Diceros bicornis minor: one gene and its partner. The protein of the gene in region 1 interacts with the protein of each later gene in a biochemical or structural test. Links are inferred from orthologs where the notes say so. Each region holds a gene or a part of one and is shown on either strand. Other genes may lie near its edges.

Evidence for each region.
Region 2: of the proteins of H1-5 (region 1) and PRKCA, one has a biochemical effect on the other in vitro, tested with the Homo sapiens proteins (2 studies listed by BioGRID). The link is inferred for Diceros bicornis minor from reciprocal best matches to the Homo sapiens genes H1-5 and PRKCA.

The regions. Positions count from the first base shown.
Region 1 is NC_080753.1:39,365,832-39,371,816, reverse strand, and holds H1-5 (histone H1.5), read right to left. Parts: upstream 1,303-5,985; 5' UTR 1,273-1,302; coding exon 592-1,272; 3' UTR 533-591; downstream 1-532. Other genes in the region: uncharacterized protein LOC131413346, read right to left, coding at 4,597-4,599, 4,820-5,258. UniProt on the Homo sapiens protein: Histone H1 protein binds to linker DNA between nucleosomes forming the macromolecular structure known as the chromatin fiber. Histones H1 are necessary for the condensation of nucleosome chains into higher-order structured fibers.
Region 2 is NC_080757.1:48,863,218-48,870,674, forward strand, and holds the start of PRKCA (protein kinase C alpha type), read right to left. Parts: upstream 3,081-7,457; 5' UTR 2,818-3,080; coding exon 2,645-2,817; intron 1-2,644. UniProt on the Homo sapiens protein: Calcium-activated, phospholipid- and diacylglycerol (DAG)-dependent serine/threonine-protein kinase that is involved in positive and negative regulation of cell proliferation, apoptosis, differentiation, migration and adhesion, tumorigenesis, cardiac hypertrophy, angiogenesis, platelet function and inflammation, by directly phosphorylating targets such as RAF1, BCL2, CSPG4, TNNT2/CTNT, or activating signaling cascade involving MAPK1/3 (ERK1/2) and RAP1GAP.

The DNA.
Region 1 (5,985 bases):
TGAATGACACCACGCATGTACGATCCTGAACTTGCTCCTCTTCTCTTCTGGTTAGGTCTGTGGCTTGTGAATGCTGCCTATACTGCCAATCGATCAAATAAAGTAGTGTACTAACTGGCATGTAGGTGGCGCGTGAACCGGAATTAAACTTCCCGTCGAGCGAGTAAAAAGAATTGACCAATCGGAACGTGCGCGGGCTTTTTAAAATTCTAACCCCTTCCTTGTCGTAAGTAAGCAACCAGAATCAAAAGCTCCGAAAAGCCGATGCTGAGCCATCTATTCAAGATACGATTCCCCGGAGTTTTTTTACAGGGTGGTGGCACACGTAGGGGCCCTTAACTCCCCTTGCTTTAGTAAGCTTTGCTGAGTATGACATTAACTGTAACTTGACGGTTTCGCTTTAAAGTTTTAAACAGAAAAGCTGAAAACGTAAACAAGACTTTAGTAAATATACTGTTGCACGGCTCTCATGGAGGTTGGTCGGGAAGGCAACAATGATGGTAAGTTATTCAGTGCACAGCCATTTTCGGAGATCTCTGGGTGGCTCTGAAAAGAGCCTTTGGGGTTCTGTCGTTTTTAAACGCCGACTACCTACTTCTTTTTGGGAGCTGCCTTCTTCGCCTTCGCAGCTTTGGGCTTTGCTGCCTTGGGCTTGGTGGCTTTGGGTTTGGCCGCCTTCGGCTTCACTGCCTTGGGCTTGGCGGGGCTCTTGGCAGCCTTCTTCGGCTTGGCGGCAGCTTTGGCCTTCTTGGGACTCTTGGCCACTTTTTTGACGCCAGCGGCCGCGGGCTTCTTGGCCTTCTTGGGAGTCTTCTTCACGGCTTTCTTCGCTCCCGCAGTCTTCTTGGGCTTTTTAGGAGTGGCCCCTGCAGGCTTCTTGCCTTTGGCTGCCCCCGCCTTCTTAGCCTTGGGCTTAGCTTCACCAGAAGCCGCTTTTTTGTTGAGCTTAAAGGACCCCGAAGCACCGGTACCCTTGGTCTGCACCAGAGTGCCCTTGCTCACCAGGCTCCTGAGACCCAACTTGATGCGGCTGTTGTTCTTCTCAACGTCGTAGCCACCAGCCGCGAGCGCCTTCTTGAGTGCAGCCAAAGACAGGCCATTGCGTTCTTTAGAAGCAGCCACAGCCTTAGTGATCAGCTCAGAGACTGGGGGCCCGGTAGCCTTGCGCTTAGCCGCGCCACCGCTCCCGGACTTCTTGGTTGCCTTCTTCTTGGCAGGAGACTTCTCCACTGGCGCCGGGGCAGCCGTCTCAGCAGGAGCGGTTTCCGACATAGTGATGAAAGTACCTACTAAAGAAAGAGAAACTCAAAATGCAAAGAGCAAGGTTTGCAATGCTGTCTTGCTGGGGCCCGGGGCTTATATAAGCCGGTGCTGCCCTCTGATTGGTGGAGCGTCCAATCCACCTCCCTCGGGCAGCCGCCTCTCCCGGTTGGACTCTCAAATTGTGTTTGTTAGTCCCCAAAATTTGATTAAATGCTGAAAACAATAGTACAGAATTTGACGCTTTGATGCTCCAAGAGAGGAAAACAGCCTTCGGGTTTACGTATTTGTTTGTGTTTTCATAAATCACGCACAATTGATGAAAGATATATTTAAAAATCCCTTAGGCTTTTCATATGAATCCACCCGGCTTAAATCATCCTGCTACTTAGTTGCATGTTGCAATAAATTTTTACTAAGTATCAAGTTAACGTTTTTTAAAAAGATTTGTTCCTAAATTCAGCCTTTGATTTTTGCAGGAGGAAAGACACTAGGTTCCTTGGTTTGGACATAAACTTTGTTTCAAACTGTAGCAAGTAACACAGGCGTAGGGTGGCTGGTTGCCTACAGCCCCAAATTAAGCACATGGACCTTACTTTAAAAACCGGTTCTGCCTCCTAGGAGTTTCCACATGCCAATGCCTTTAGAGAATGGTATTTTGCAGCTTGGAAAAGTTCAATTGCCAGAGTGACTTCTTCCACCTTGCTCCAAGAGGAATAGAAATTGCTTTGGCTTCAGGATCCGTCGACTTGGATTCAAATTCAAACTTAAATTTGGTACATTTTTTATTGAGATGCTTTCTCTCTTTGATTCCTAAGTGAACCCATTAAAATAAGGACGGAAAATGCTTAGCCCAGATAATGTCCTTTAGAAAAATCTCTGAAACCTGCTTCCAGTAGCCCTCAGGAGCACAAACTGTTTAGATGAATGGGACTTGGTCAGGTTTTCGAGGTGCTCTTCCCAATGCTCTCACTCAAACTCCTTACCTCCATCAACATTTACCAAATTGCATCCTCAGGAATACCCTCTTTTGTAAGCAGCCAGAAGACATCAATGTGGGTATTTTTTGTGTGTTTAAGTGAAGATAGACGTGTATTTTAGAAAAATAATTGGCTACTTGACTATAAGAAGGGTAGATTGGGTATTGAGGGACAGGAGGTTATAGAGGTTCTGAAGAATTCAGGAAAATATTAACATCCAAAGGAGTTCAGGCAATGACCATGAGTTGGAATGGAGAGTGAGGTTTGCTATTTATTTGAGGGTGGGGTGGAGAATGGACAGGATTTTGTGCCTGGATGGTAAGAGATCAGGTAATGGTTATGATCTCTAATGCAGTCAACAGTCAATGCTTCCCTGTGAAAAACTGTGTTAGCCAACACACTTCATCTTCTCTCCAGGAGCTCTTGGATTTGAAAATTCAGTCAACTATGGCCAAATCTGGACAATGACTTGTTTTTGTATGGCCCTCAGGCTAAGAGTGGTTTTTATATTTTAAAATTGTGTTAGGGGCCGGCCCCGTGGCTTACCCTTTAAGCGCACCCACTCCGCTACTGGCAGCCCGGTTCGGATCCTGGGCGCGCACCGACGCACCGCTTGTGCCGCCATGCTGGGCCGCGTCCCACATACAGCAACTAGAAGGATGTGCGACTATGACATAGAACTATCTACTGGGGCTTTGGGGGAAAAAATAAAAAAATAAAATAAAAAATTAAAATTGTGTTAGAAAAGAAAAATGCGATGAAGACCATATGTCTCCTGCAAAACCTAAATAAACTATTTACTAACTCTCTGGCCCTTTTGCTGTGTTTTGAACTCCTCCACATAGACGCAGTTCATGGTATATTGCTACAAGCTTGCCTCTTTCAGAACAATGCAAATCGAGAACTAAAAGAAAAGATTTTAACAGGAAAATGTTCTGAACAAGCATTTCCACTGTTTTTATCACAAAACTTTCAGAAGATCCAGAGGAAAAAACCTTCCATGTTTAAGCAGCAGGAGAGGGTGATAACTTTAAGAGCTAATATTCATTGAGCATTTACTAAGTACCAGGAACTAATCTAAGATACTCTACAGGTTTTAATTTGTCACATCATACAGCTGGACAAGCTGAGTCCCAGAAAGAGGATGAGTAATTTACCAAAAATTATACAGCTAGTACTTGGCAGCTCTGAGTTTGAACCTAGACCACTTGGCTTCATCTCCATTATGATGGGGAGATCCTGGAAGGGGTGCAGAGAGAGAATAATCTTTGAAGTTTGGAAGAGGCAGCATCAAATCGTCCTTACACCTAGCAGGAAGCCAAAAAAGGAGCGCTAAATTAATCTGTAGGGAGAGGCTTCTGGCTCCATGGATCAGAACCGTTTTTGCTGAATCAATTCCAAAAAGCTTTAGAAGGAGCCAGTGATGAAATATAAGCCTCTCTGGAAGGGCAAATACAAAAATAGGGGAAAGAAAGGAAGGCTCAGATGGCTGACCTGCCTTCGAACACTCAGGAGAAAAATTGCCTTCACTTAACTCCGCTAGCTCCTGGAGTTAGGATGTGTACCCAAAAGCGTAAACAGAAAAATAAGGCAATGATAGTCGTACATGAGGAGACTTTTTAAAAAGCTGAAAACATTGGACAACATTAATAAGGAGTCAAGTTTGGAAACAAGGAACAACTTCAAAATGACATCTCACCTTTAATTTCCAGTCTGATTCTCTATTTGGAAAAACAAAACAAAACATGAACATCCAATTTATAGACTGACAGGCAGATTTTGAAAATACTTGAGCAAATTTTTTTTTAGATTTTTACAGCTATTGGGAGCTCATTTTACAGATGACAGCCTGCAAGTCAAAGTGTCCAGGCCTTTGTGGGCCCACTGTTTTCCACACATAATCACATACATGCAAAGCCCCTAACATATGCCTTTGTTAAACATTACAAAAGAGCAACAGAAAAGCTAGCAAGTTTCTAAACACTCATGACGATACTTGTTCTATTCCTTCGTGTCACAGGAAAGCAAATTAAGAGGCATATTTCTTAGGTCATCCCAGGAATCCTTGGCAAAATTAAGCTGTATTTGCCATTTGCACAACTATCCACAGTAATTTGAACTAAACTTTTCTAAGGCATAAGCCAGTCTTGCTTCGGTTACTACATGTAGCCAAGGGTGTTTCTGAAATGCTTGTATCATTTTAAGAATGCCTATCCAGAAACAGCTCCTCACTGCGCAGAGTACAAGCAAGGTGTTCCCGTGGAATCAAGTTGTTGGGTTTACAGAATACACAGTCACCTCTCCAGCCTGTAGACCAATCTCCCAACTGAGCCCACAATAACTATTTCGTCGAAACGCTCTGCACTCTTTTCATATAGTGCTACCATATATTCTGTAGAACAGCTCCCTTTTGGTGACAACGGAGGGGCTCTGAAAAGAGCCTTTTGGGGTAGAGTTCCCTTTGGGGTAGAGTATGTCAGGTGGAACACTAGCAAGTTTAAGCTCTTTCCCCGCGGATGCGGCGCGCGAGTTGGATGTCCTTGGGCATGATGGTGACGCGCTTGGCGTGGATGGCGCACAGGTTGGTGTCCTCGAAGAGCCCCACCAGGTAGGCCTCGCACGCCTCCTGCAGCGCCATCACGGCCGAGCTCTGGAAGCGCAGGTCGGTCTTGAAGTCCTGCGCGATCTCGCGCACCAGGCGCTGGAAGGGCAGCTTGCGGATCAGCAGCTCGGTGGACTTCTGGTAGCGGCGGATCTCGCGCAGCGCCACCGTGCCGGGCCGGTAGCGGTGGGGCTTCTTCACGCCGCCGGTGGCCGGCGCGCTCTTGCGGGCCGCCTTGGTAGCCAGCTGCTTGCGGGGCGCCTTGCCGCCGGTGGACTTGCGAGCTGTCTGCTTGGTGCGAGCCATAGCTAAGCAGAGCCAACTACTTAACACTAATGAGAGCAAGAAGCAGTCGTCCCAGTATTTATAACGACCCTCGCGTTCTGATTCGACAGCAGACTGCTGCCCCGCCCCGCCTCGCCCTCAGAATTGGCTCTTGGTTTAATTCGCTAAGGAAAGGAAGTGTTTTCCCGCCTCTCCTTCAGTTTTTAAGATAATGTACAGAGAAAATGTCTTACTGGCTTTTTAAAAAGCCTCTAGGATGCATCAAAATTCTCAAGAAAATGTTGTCTTCAGAATGCGAAAGTACCTTGCACTATTTTAAGTAAAAGGCTTCATGATTGCATCCTTGGCAAAAAATCTTTACTGAATAACATGAAAGGGAACCGAGAATACGTTAAATGTTAAGTACTGAAGCGGGGTTTGAAATTCTAGCCACTATGGGCTATGCCAGTGTTCTCAAACTTCACCGTGCTTAGGAATCAACGAGCTCGTTAAAACAAAGGTCAGCCAACTCTTTAAAGGTCAGTTTACTGTCTTTGCCATTGTAGTGCGAATGCAGTAGACAGTAAATAGATGAGTCCGACTTTCAATCTTTGTTGTAACAGGTAGCGCCTATTTAATAATGGCCGGATGATCTGCCATTTTACTAGGTGATGGAGATGCTGATGGGGGGGAGGCGGCTACCAAAGCAGCTAGGAATGTTTTAGGGACCTTACTGTTCAAGATGCTACATTTCCCAAAAAACTAATCTGACGCTTGCAGCTGCTTAGCATACAGTGCTACTGAAAGATGCCTACAGCTCTTTAACAGATTTTGTGGGTGGCCCTGAGAAGGACCTTTGAGTGATGGAATAACGTATTA
Region 2 (7,457 bases), on another chromosome or scaffold:
TCCCTAAAGACAACTAAAAAGTGGTTTCGTCATTTGTCATGAATTTAAGATATTATTTGTCTAGAAATTGCCAAATGGTACCACTCTTAACATTAAATTTTGGCTTAAAGGAGCCAGGTTTTACAAAGTATCATTCCTATTGTTTGCATTTGAGATCATGATCTCATTTTTACTGAGAACCAAGAGCATTCAAAGCACATTATAGAGGCTATTTTGTTATTGTAAATTAAAGAATTTACTCTCTAAGCAGAAAACGCTGACATGGGCATTAAACCACAAACACCGTTCCAACCAAGATAAACTGCATTAAAATTTTCTCAGGTTGTCATAATCTCTTGCTTTACATAGCATTTTAGATTTACAAAGCACTTCACGTATCTTCATAATTAACTTAATCATCCCCCAAAACACATACTCAAACCCAAACATTTAGTTTTAAAATATCAGTGCTTTAATATTTAAATAAAACTTGTAGGTCAAGGACCCAGAGAAACAATAACGAAAGAAAGCTGAAAAATTAAAACCGATGTTAGACATCTTGGGGAATATTTTCCTGCAACTTCAAGTGGTTGCTTTACAGTTAACTGAAAAAATGTTGCAGGGATCACGCAGGGAGGAAGACGACAGGGAGTCCTTTATTTTCCACTTCACATTACACCTGGTGACCTGATGTGCCACAGGTCACCAGGGCCTAATCCTTCAGGGCAATTGATAGTGGAAAGACATTAGCTAGGCTGGGTATGTATGCTGCAAGTCCGTTTTCTAGCTTACCTACTTCCTGCAAAGGTAATCAGCAGTCCTGTTCCCTTTTAATGGAATTTCACAGTTGACAGAGGAGGCTGACGGCCTCCCCTTAACTAAATGCAGTATCTTCTTTGCCCTGATGCTCCAGGAACTCATTTTAAATAGCCTTATCTACCGTTACCTAGTCCTTCGAGCACAATTGCTTCATACACTGACTACACAGTGGAAATCATTCACCGAGGTGGCAGTGCTTTTCATAAAAGTGTACTTTTGAGATTTCTAAAAGGAAAGAAAAAATTAAGCACCTTTATTAGCACCATGTCTGTGGGACTCTCCCTTCGAGATGTTTTTTCCCCAGGTGTGGAGTCAAACAGAGCCATCCATCAAGGAAAAACTAAGCACCATATTAGCAAATTTGTGGGACTCTCCCTTAGAGATGATTTTCCCCAGGTGTAATGGATTCAAACAGAGCCATCCATAAAGGAAAAATTCAGTACTTTATTAGCACATTTGTGGGATTTGCCCTTGGAGATGCTTTTCCCCAGGTGTGATGGATTCAGCCATCCATCCATACGTTTTCCCTAGGGTCCCAACAAGACACATGTGCCACACAGCCAGCTGGTGGCAGGGTGAACTCTATGGCACTATCACCCTAGTACAGTCCCCCAGCCTAGGAAAGGTGGGAGTTAAGGAACCCTAGCCACAGCCCTGACTTGGGGGAGCTTCCTACATCTACAAGAGGTGGAAGAGGCAGGGTGTGTGGCAACCTAAAACAAAACCCCTGCTCCTCAGACTGGAACAACTGGAATTCCCTTAGTTCCAGCTTTCTAAACTATTTTTTTGGGGAGGGAGGGGGGTCACCGACCTTTTAGGAATCAGTTAATAAAAGCAATCATTCTCTCACCAGGAAAAAAAACACACACACACACACACATATGAACACAATTTCACCTAGATTTACAGGGTTCAGAGACCCCTGAAGCCCATCCTTTTATCAATTCCTCCCCAACCCCCCCAAGTTAAGAACACCTGGGTTCACTATAAATTACCTGAATCTGACACCTTTAGCCCTTACAGTATTTTTCTTAAATAAGGCCTCTGTCCTCATCAACAGGGTTACAGGTCTAATCTCGTGTTGACAGGGTCTATTTTAAATGACTCCCTCTGCCCTTCTGCCATTTGCCTGCTCCGTTCTAGTTCCCCCTCCCCCACTGCAAGCTTTCAACAGTTTGTTGCCTCTCCGATCTCTGAGCTCACCCAGGAAAGTCGAAGTCTCTCCGTGCCCAGTAGATACAAGCTACAGTAGGCAGAGACCCAAAGCTACAGGGGAAACACAAAACACACACCCCCCGAATGAGCCCAGCCTGGCTCGCCAACTTGGACCGCGCAGCGCAGTCGCCGGGGCTCCCCCGGCTCCTCCCGGGCGCGTTTCTCCGGAAACTCTGCCCTCTGAATTCTCCTTGTTGCTTTCCCCTTCGCTCACACCCGGGCAAGGGGCTGCTCCACTATCTGTACGGGAGAGCAGGCGCGCCTGGGGAGGTCGGGGGCACTAGACCCGTGGAGGGGGTTAACGTCAGTCCGCGCGGGGCCAGCCTCCCTCCTGCGGCAGGGGGTGTGTGACCCGGCGGCGACTTTCCCGGGAGTCCTGCCCGTGTGAGAGTGGCCGGGGCGGCCGGGCGCGCGCGTGTCATTCCGGGCGAGAGTTCGGACTCCCGCCGTCTCTCCAAGTTCCCCGAGTGAGTCAGCCCTGGGGTGGACGCGCCTGGACTGGGGGGCCCGCGCCAGGGTCCCCAGGGCGAAAGGACCCCGGCCTAGGGAGGAACTGGTCCCCAGCCCCTGGCACCGCCAGAGGGGTCCGGGATGCCGTCCGTGCGCCCTGCCGCGCCCCGCGCGCACCTACCAGATGAAGTCGGTGCAGTGGCTGCAGAAGGTGGGCTGCTTGAAGAAGCGGGCGATGAATTTGTGGTCCTTCACTTCGTGCACGTTCTTCTGTCTCAGCGCCCCTTTGCGGGCGAAGCGGTTGGCCACGTCCTGAGACGCCGTGGAGTCGTTGGCCGGGAAAACGTCAGCCATGGTCCCCCCAACCACCTCTTGCCTCCGCCGGGGAGCAGCAGCCGGGGAGGGCCGGGTGGGCGGGGGCGAGCGGGGGAGGGGCGGCGGGGACGCGGGCCGGGGGCGCTGCGAGGAGGCGCGGCGGAGGAGGCGGGGAGAGCCGGGCCGGAGCGGGAGCCGGAGCCGCTCGCTCGCTCGCTCGCTCGCTCGCTGGCCCCACGCTCACTGACAGCCCGGCGCCCGGCGCTCGCGCTTCCTACTCTCGGCGGCAGAGGCGGCCGGAGCGGCGCCGCCCACCGCGCATGCCCCGAGAGTGAGCGCCGCGCGGGCGAGGTGGCCGCGCGCCCACGGGGGCGCGCGCGGGGCGGCCGCGGGCGCCGGAGGAGTCGGCGCCTCCGCGTTTTCGGAGCAGCCGGGAGAGCGGAGGCGGCGGCGGCGGCGGCGGCGGCTGGGGGAGGGCCCGCCGGAATTTGGGAGCGGAGGAGGGCGCCGGGAGGGGCGGGCCCGTTCTCCTCCACCGCCTTTCTCTTTTCTTCCCTTCTCTCCTCCTCCTCTTCTTCCGCTCCTCTCTCGTCTTCTCCTCCCACTCCCGCTCGCTCTCTCCAGATCATCCTTCTCGCTCCTCTTTGCTCGTCTCCGGGGTCGGAGGTCTGCGTGGCCGAGGGGAGCCCCGAGTCCCAGGACGGGGTACGACGCAGCCCACGCCGCTCGGTCCGACCCGCTCGGACGCTCACTCTCCCTTCTCCCCCTTCCCAATCCTCCAGAACACGATGTCCAAGTTTTATCAGCCTGTATCAACTTGAGGTTTCACCTGGCTAAAATGTCACTCCAATTGTGTGCGCCCTAAAATGCACAACCCCTAGACCTTCACGCTCTTTCCATATGGCGGGAGAAAGGGAACGATTTTAAATCATTGAACACTGACCCTTTCACCTGCCTCTAATTGTTGGCCTATATTTCACCTGCGTCTTGTATGGACATCTAATTTGGACGTAGGGTGGTTAAAGGACTTGTCCTAGTTATTTATCCCATTACTCGTTGGCTACCACAGTTACAACGTTGATTATCAGGCTTTCTTGATTTTTACAAGTCCAGAAGCTCAATTTAGAAATCATTTTGCGTCCTAAGCTAATTACTGCAGTACTGGCAGGTGCAAAGTGCAGCCAGTTCATTTGTAAATTACCAAGTAAAACTGTTTGTGAAAGGGTAGCTGGCATGGATATGTAAAGGATGCACGTGGGATATACCAACTAATCATTTGCTGAATATTTATTAGTTCTGCCTCTAGAATGCTGAAATGCATAAGGGAAACAGCTATCTCCCAGTATTTCATTATTGTTTTATTTCATTGTCAGATTCACTAAGTTCACAAAACAACTTCATGAACTAAAGACATCAAGAAAGAGAATATGTTTAATCCTTCAAGAAGTTACAAAAAATAGAAAACTTTTCTAAGGTAGATACCACTTAGAGCATATCACATAGACCAAGTAGGGCTACCATTTTTTAAGATGCCTAATTGAATGCTTGATAATAGGAATGTCTTTTATGTTTTAATAGGTGTAAGCTATTGACTGGCCATTAGTGGAGCATGCACTGTGCCAGCCCATTTACAATCTCTTGAACCAGTGTAGTTGGTGCTTAAAGAGAACCTGCTTGATATTCTACCTGGTCAGAAATTTTGCCATTCGTGGCAACCCCCTCCAGTCCAAGGAGGCAAAAAAGAATGAAACACAGTTCTTTCCTCACAGCCATCTTGAAGACAGTGGTCCTCACGCATTTTAGGAAGACAAGCTTCTTTCTATTTCCCTGAAGCTTTGATGTAATGATGGAAGAAATATATGGGAGAGTTGGAGGTTGGGTTGCTGGTAGTGGAATCCATGAGCAAAGTCATAGGGAAGATGAGCTAAGAACCAAGTGGACCTTGGCAGCAGCCTGCCCATCTTCTATGTACAGAGTAGAGTGACTGATCTCATCGGTGAGTAGACCAAATGGAGACAATATTTTTCTTGCAGGGTGTGGCTGTGCTTTCTTGCCTCAGTTATTACTGTTATTACTTGTGGGTATGGAGAGAACTAACTGGAAGTTTGTTGACTGATAGCTGGGCTGAGCTTGAGTGCTCCATTGCCTACAGCTTAGCTCAATTATGGGGGCGGGGGTGGGGATGCGCCTGGGGCAAGGAATTATCATGCAGTGTAACATTGCCTATAGCAAGGACTGATGGGAATGTGGGCTGCAGTTAACCCCTGCTGCCCACCTGAGAAGTCCTCATGGTAGCACTAAAATGGAGGGGATTACAGAAAGGAGAACCCCTAGGGAGGGCGTGGTCAGTCAGTCAGAGTATTAGTAATTATTTTAGAGTCTGCTGTTTCATGGGGAAGGTGCAGGAAAAAAACAGGGAATGGTAGACTGAACAGAGACCTTGTGAGAACCCCCCTCTGTGACCCCTGCCTTTGAGAAGTAAGCTTGAGACTCTTGGGAGAGGTGTTGCCTAGACCAGGAGGACCCGGAGGCTGGAGGCTGGGCTCAAAGTCAGGCCATTAAACTGATGCTTCTGGGGCCGGCCCCGTGGCTTAGCAGTTAAGTGCACACGCTCTGCTACCGGCGGCCTGGGTTCGGATCCCGGGCGCGCACCGACGCACCGCTTCTCTGGCCATGCTGAGGCCGCATCCCACATACAGCAACAAGAAGGATGTGCAACTATGACATACGACTATCTACTGGGGCTTTGGGGAGAAAAAACGGAGGAGGATTGGCAATAGATGTTAGCTCAGAGCCGGTCTTCCTCAGCAAAAAGAGGATGATTAGCATGGATGTTAGCTCAGGGCCGATCTTCCTCACAATAAAAAAATAAAATGTTTAAACTGATGCTTCTGAACCCGAGTGGTTTACTTAAAACCAATAGTCTTTACGATGCTACTTACAACTTGTTGCTCTCTGCAGATAACTGGTCTGTTTTCAAAAGGACCAGGCCATTTTCCTGTTGAGCAATAGGAATTGCTTTCAAGTGTAGAAAAAGCTTGATTCTGAGATTTATAGTAACCAAGATGATTTAAAGGCTCACGTTTTGCTCTATGCGATGAATTCAAGGCTTAGGAGAGCTAAGACAACTAGTGCAATGCATAATTAATTAGGCAGTGTTTAGAGTCAGGGTGAATGGCAGGTCTCAAGAAATGGGTAGAGACAAGGTCTAGCTGGGCAGGAGATGTAGGATGATGTTTCATAAGAGTGGATGAGTCAGAATCCCCAGTCAGAGGTTAACAGCAAGGCTGCCAGGAATGGTTGTGCAGGGGAGTGGGGGAAGACTTACCTTTCACTGTGTCTACCCTTTTGTACATTTGAAAACTTTGTTCCTAGTTTAAAGGTAAAAGTAACTTTTGAAAGGCCTCAAAGCAGAACACCACAGATCTCTAATTGGATATTTTGTATTAAAAGAAGGCCATACTTTGCTAGTAAGTGAAAGAAGCAGGATGTAAAACAGTATTCAAAATAAGATTCCATTTTTTAATGTCTGTACACTTATGTACACTCACATATACATAAATATAAATATGCTTGTGCATGTACACACACGTATATAAAGGTATGTACAGCAAAATGTTCATTTAAGTGACTATCTCTGGGTTGTGGATAGATGCTTTTTTGTACAGGAAGAGAAGCCTTTGACCTAGGACTCACATTTTGAAAGGGCAGTAGAAGCCATATTTTTTGATGTTTTTCTTTAATCAAAAAGGAGATATTTATTATTTTAACACAAAAGGTTGTATTGCCAGAATTTTGTTGTTGCATGGAGTACAAACCGTACACTTTGAATGTAAAATGTTTGAAAAGTCTGTTTTAAATCATTGACCCTCACCTCCTTCTTAGCCCCAGTCCACAACTGGGAGATGAAATCCTGAGTGGACTGCCCAAGGAACCTTCTTGGTGTCCAGGATTTTAGCTTCCTCCATAAAGTATTTTATCTCCACTTTCTTCCAGTTTTTCTATGATAGGCATGGTACCAACCAGATATAGGACTCAGAAGACCTGGGTTTAAGTACTAGCTCCAGCACTAACTGGCTTGTGTGACTTGGATAAATTGTGTAACTTGGATAAATTAACTCCCCCAAGTCTTTATTTCTTCACCTAAAAATGGAGAAATGCATAACTACCCTAGGATCTTCTTAAGAATTTAACCAGATGACGTACATATGAGTGTTTAGTGGGGCGGGCCCAGTGACGAAGCAGTTAAGTGCACACGCCCCGCTTCGGCGGCCTGGCATTGGCAAGTTCGGATCCAAGGTGCAGACGGATTCACCACTTGTCAAGCCGTGCTGTGGCGCTGTGCCATATAGAGTAGAGACAGATGGGCATGGATGTTAGCCCAGGGCCAATCTTCCTTGGCAAAAAGAGGATTGGCAATGGATGTTAGCTCAGGGCTAATCTTCGTCACACACACACCAAAAGAGTGTTTAGTAAATCCTCAAGTCTCATACAAATGTAAGGTAGAGTGTTCCTTCTCAGCTTTATCAAGTCTGCGTTTTGGAGAGAGTGAATTGAGAGCTCTCCTCTTCTAAGCCCATTCTTCCTCCAGAACTGACAGATGTATTTCCCTCCACTCCAGTGACTCTGAATTGGGAAGCAAGAGCTGACACGTGGAGGGAGGATAAAAAACTTATCTT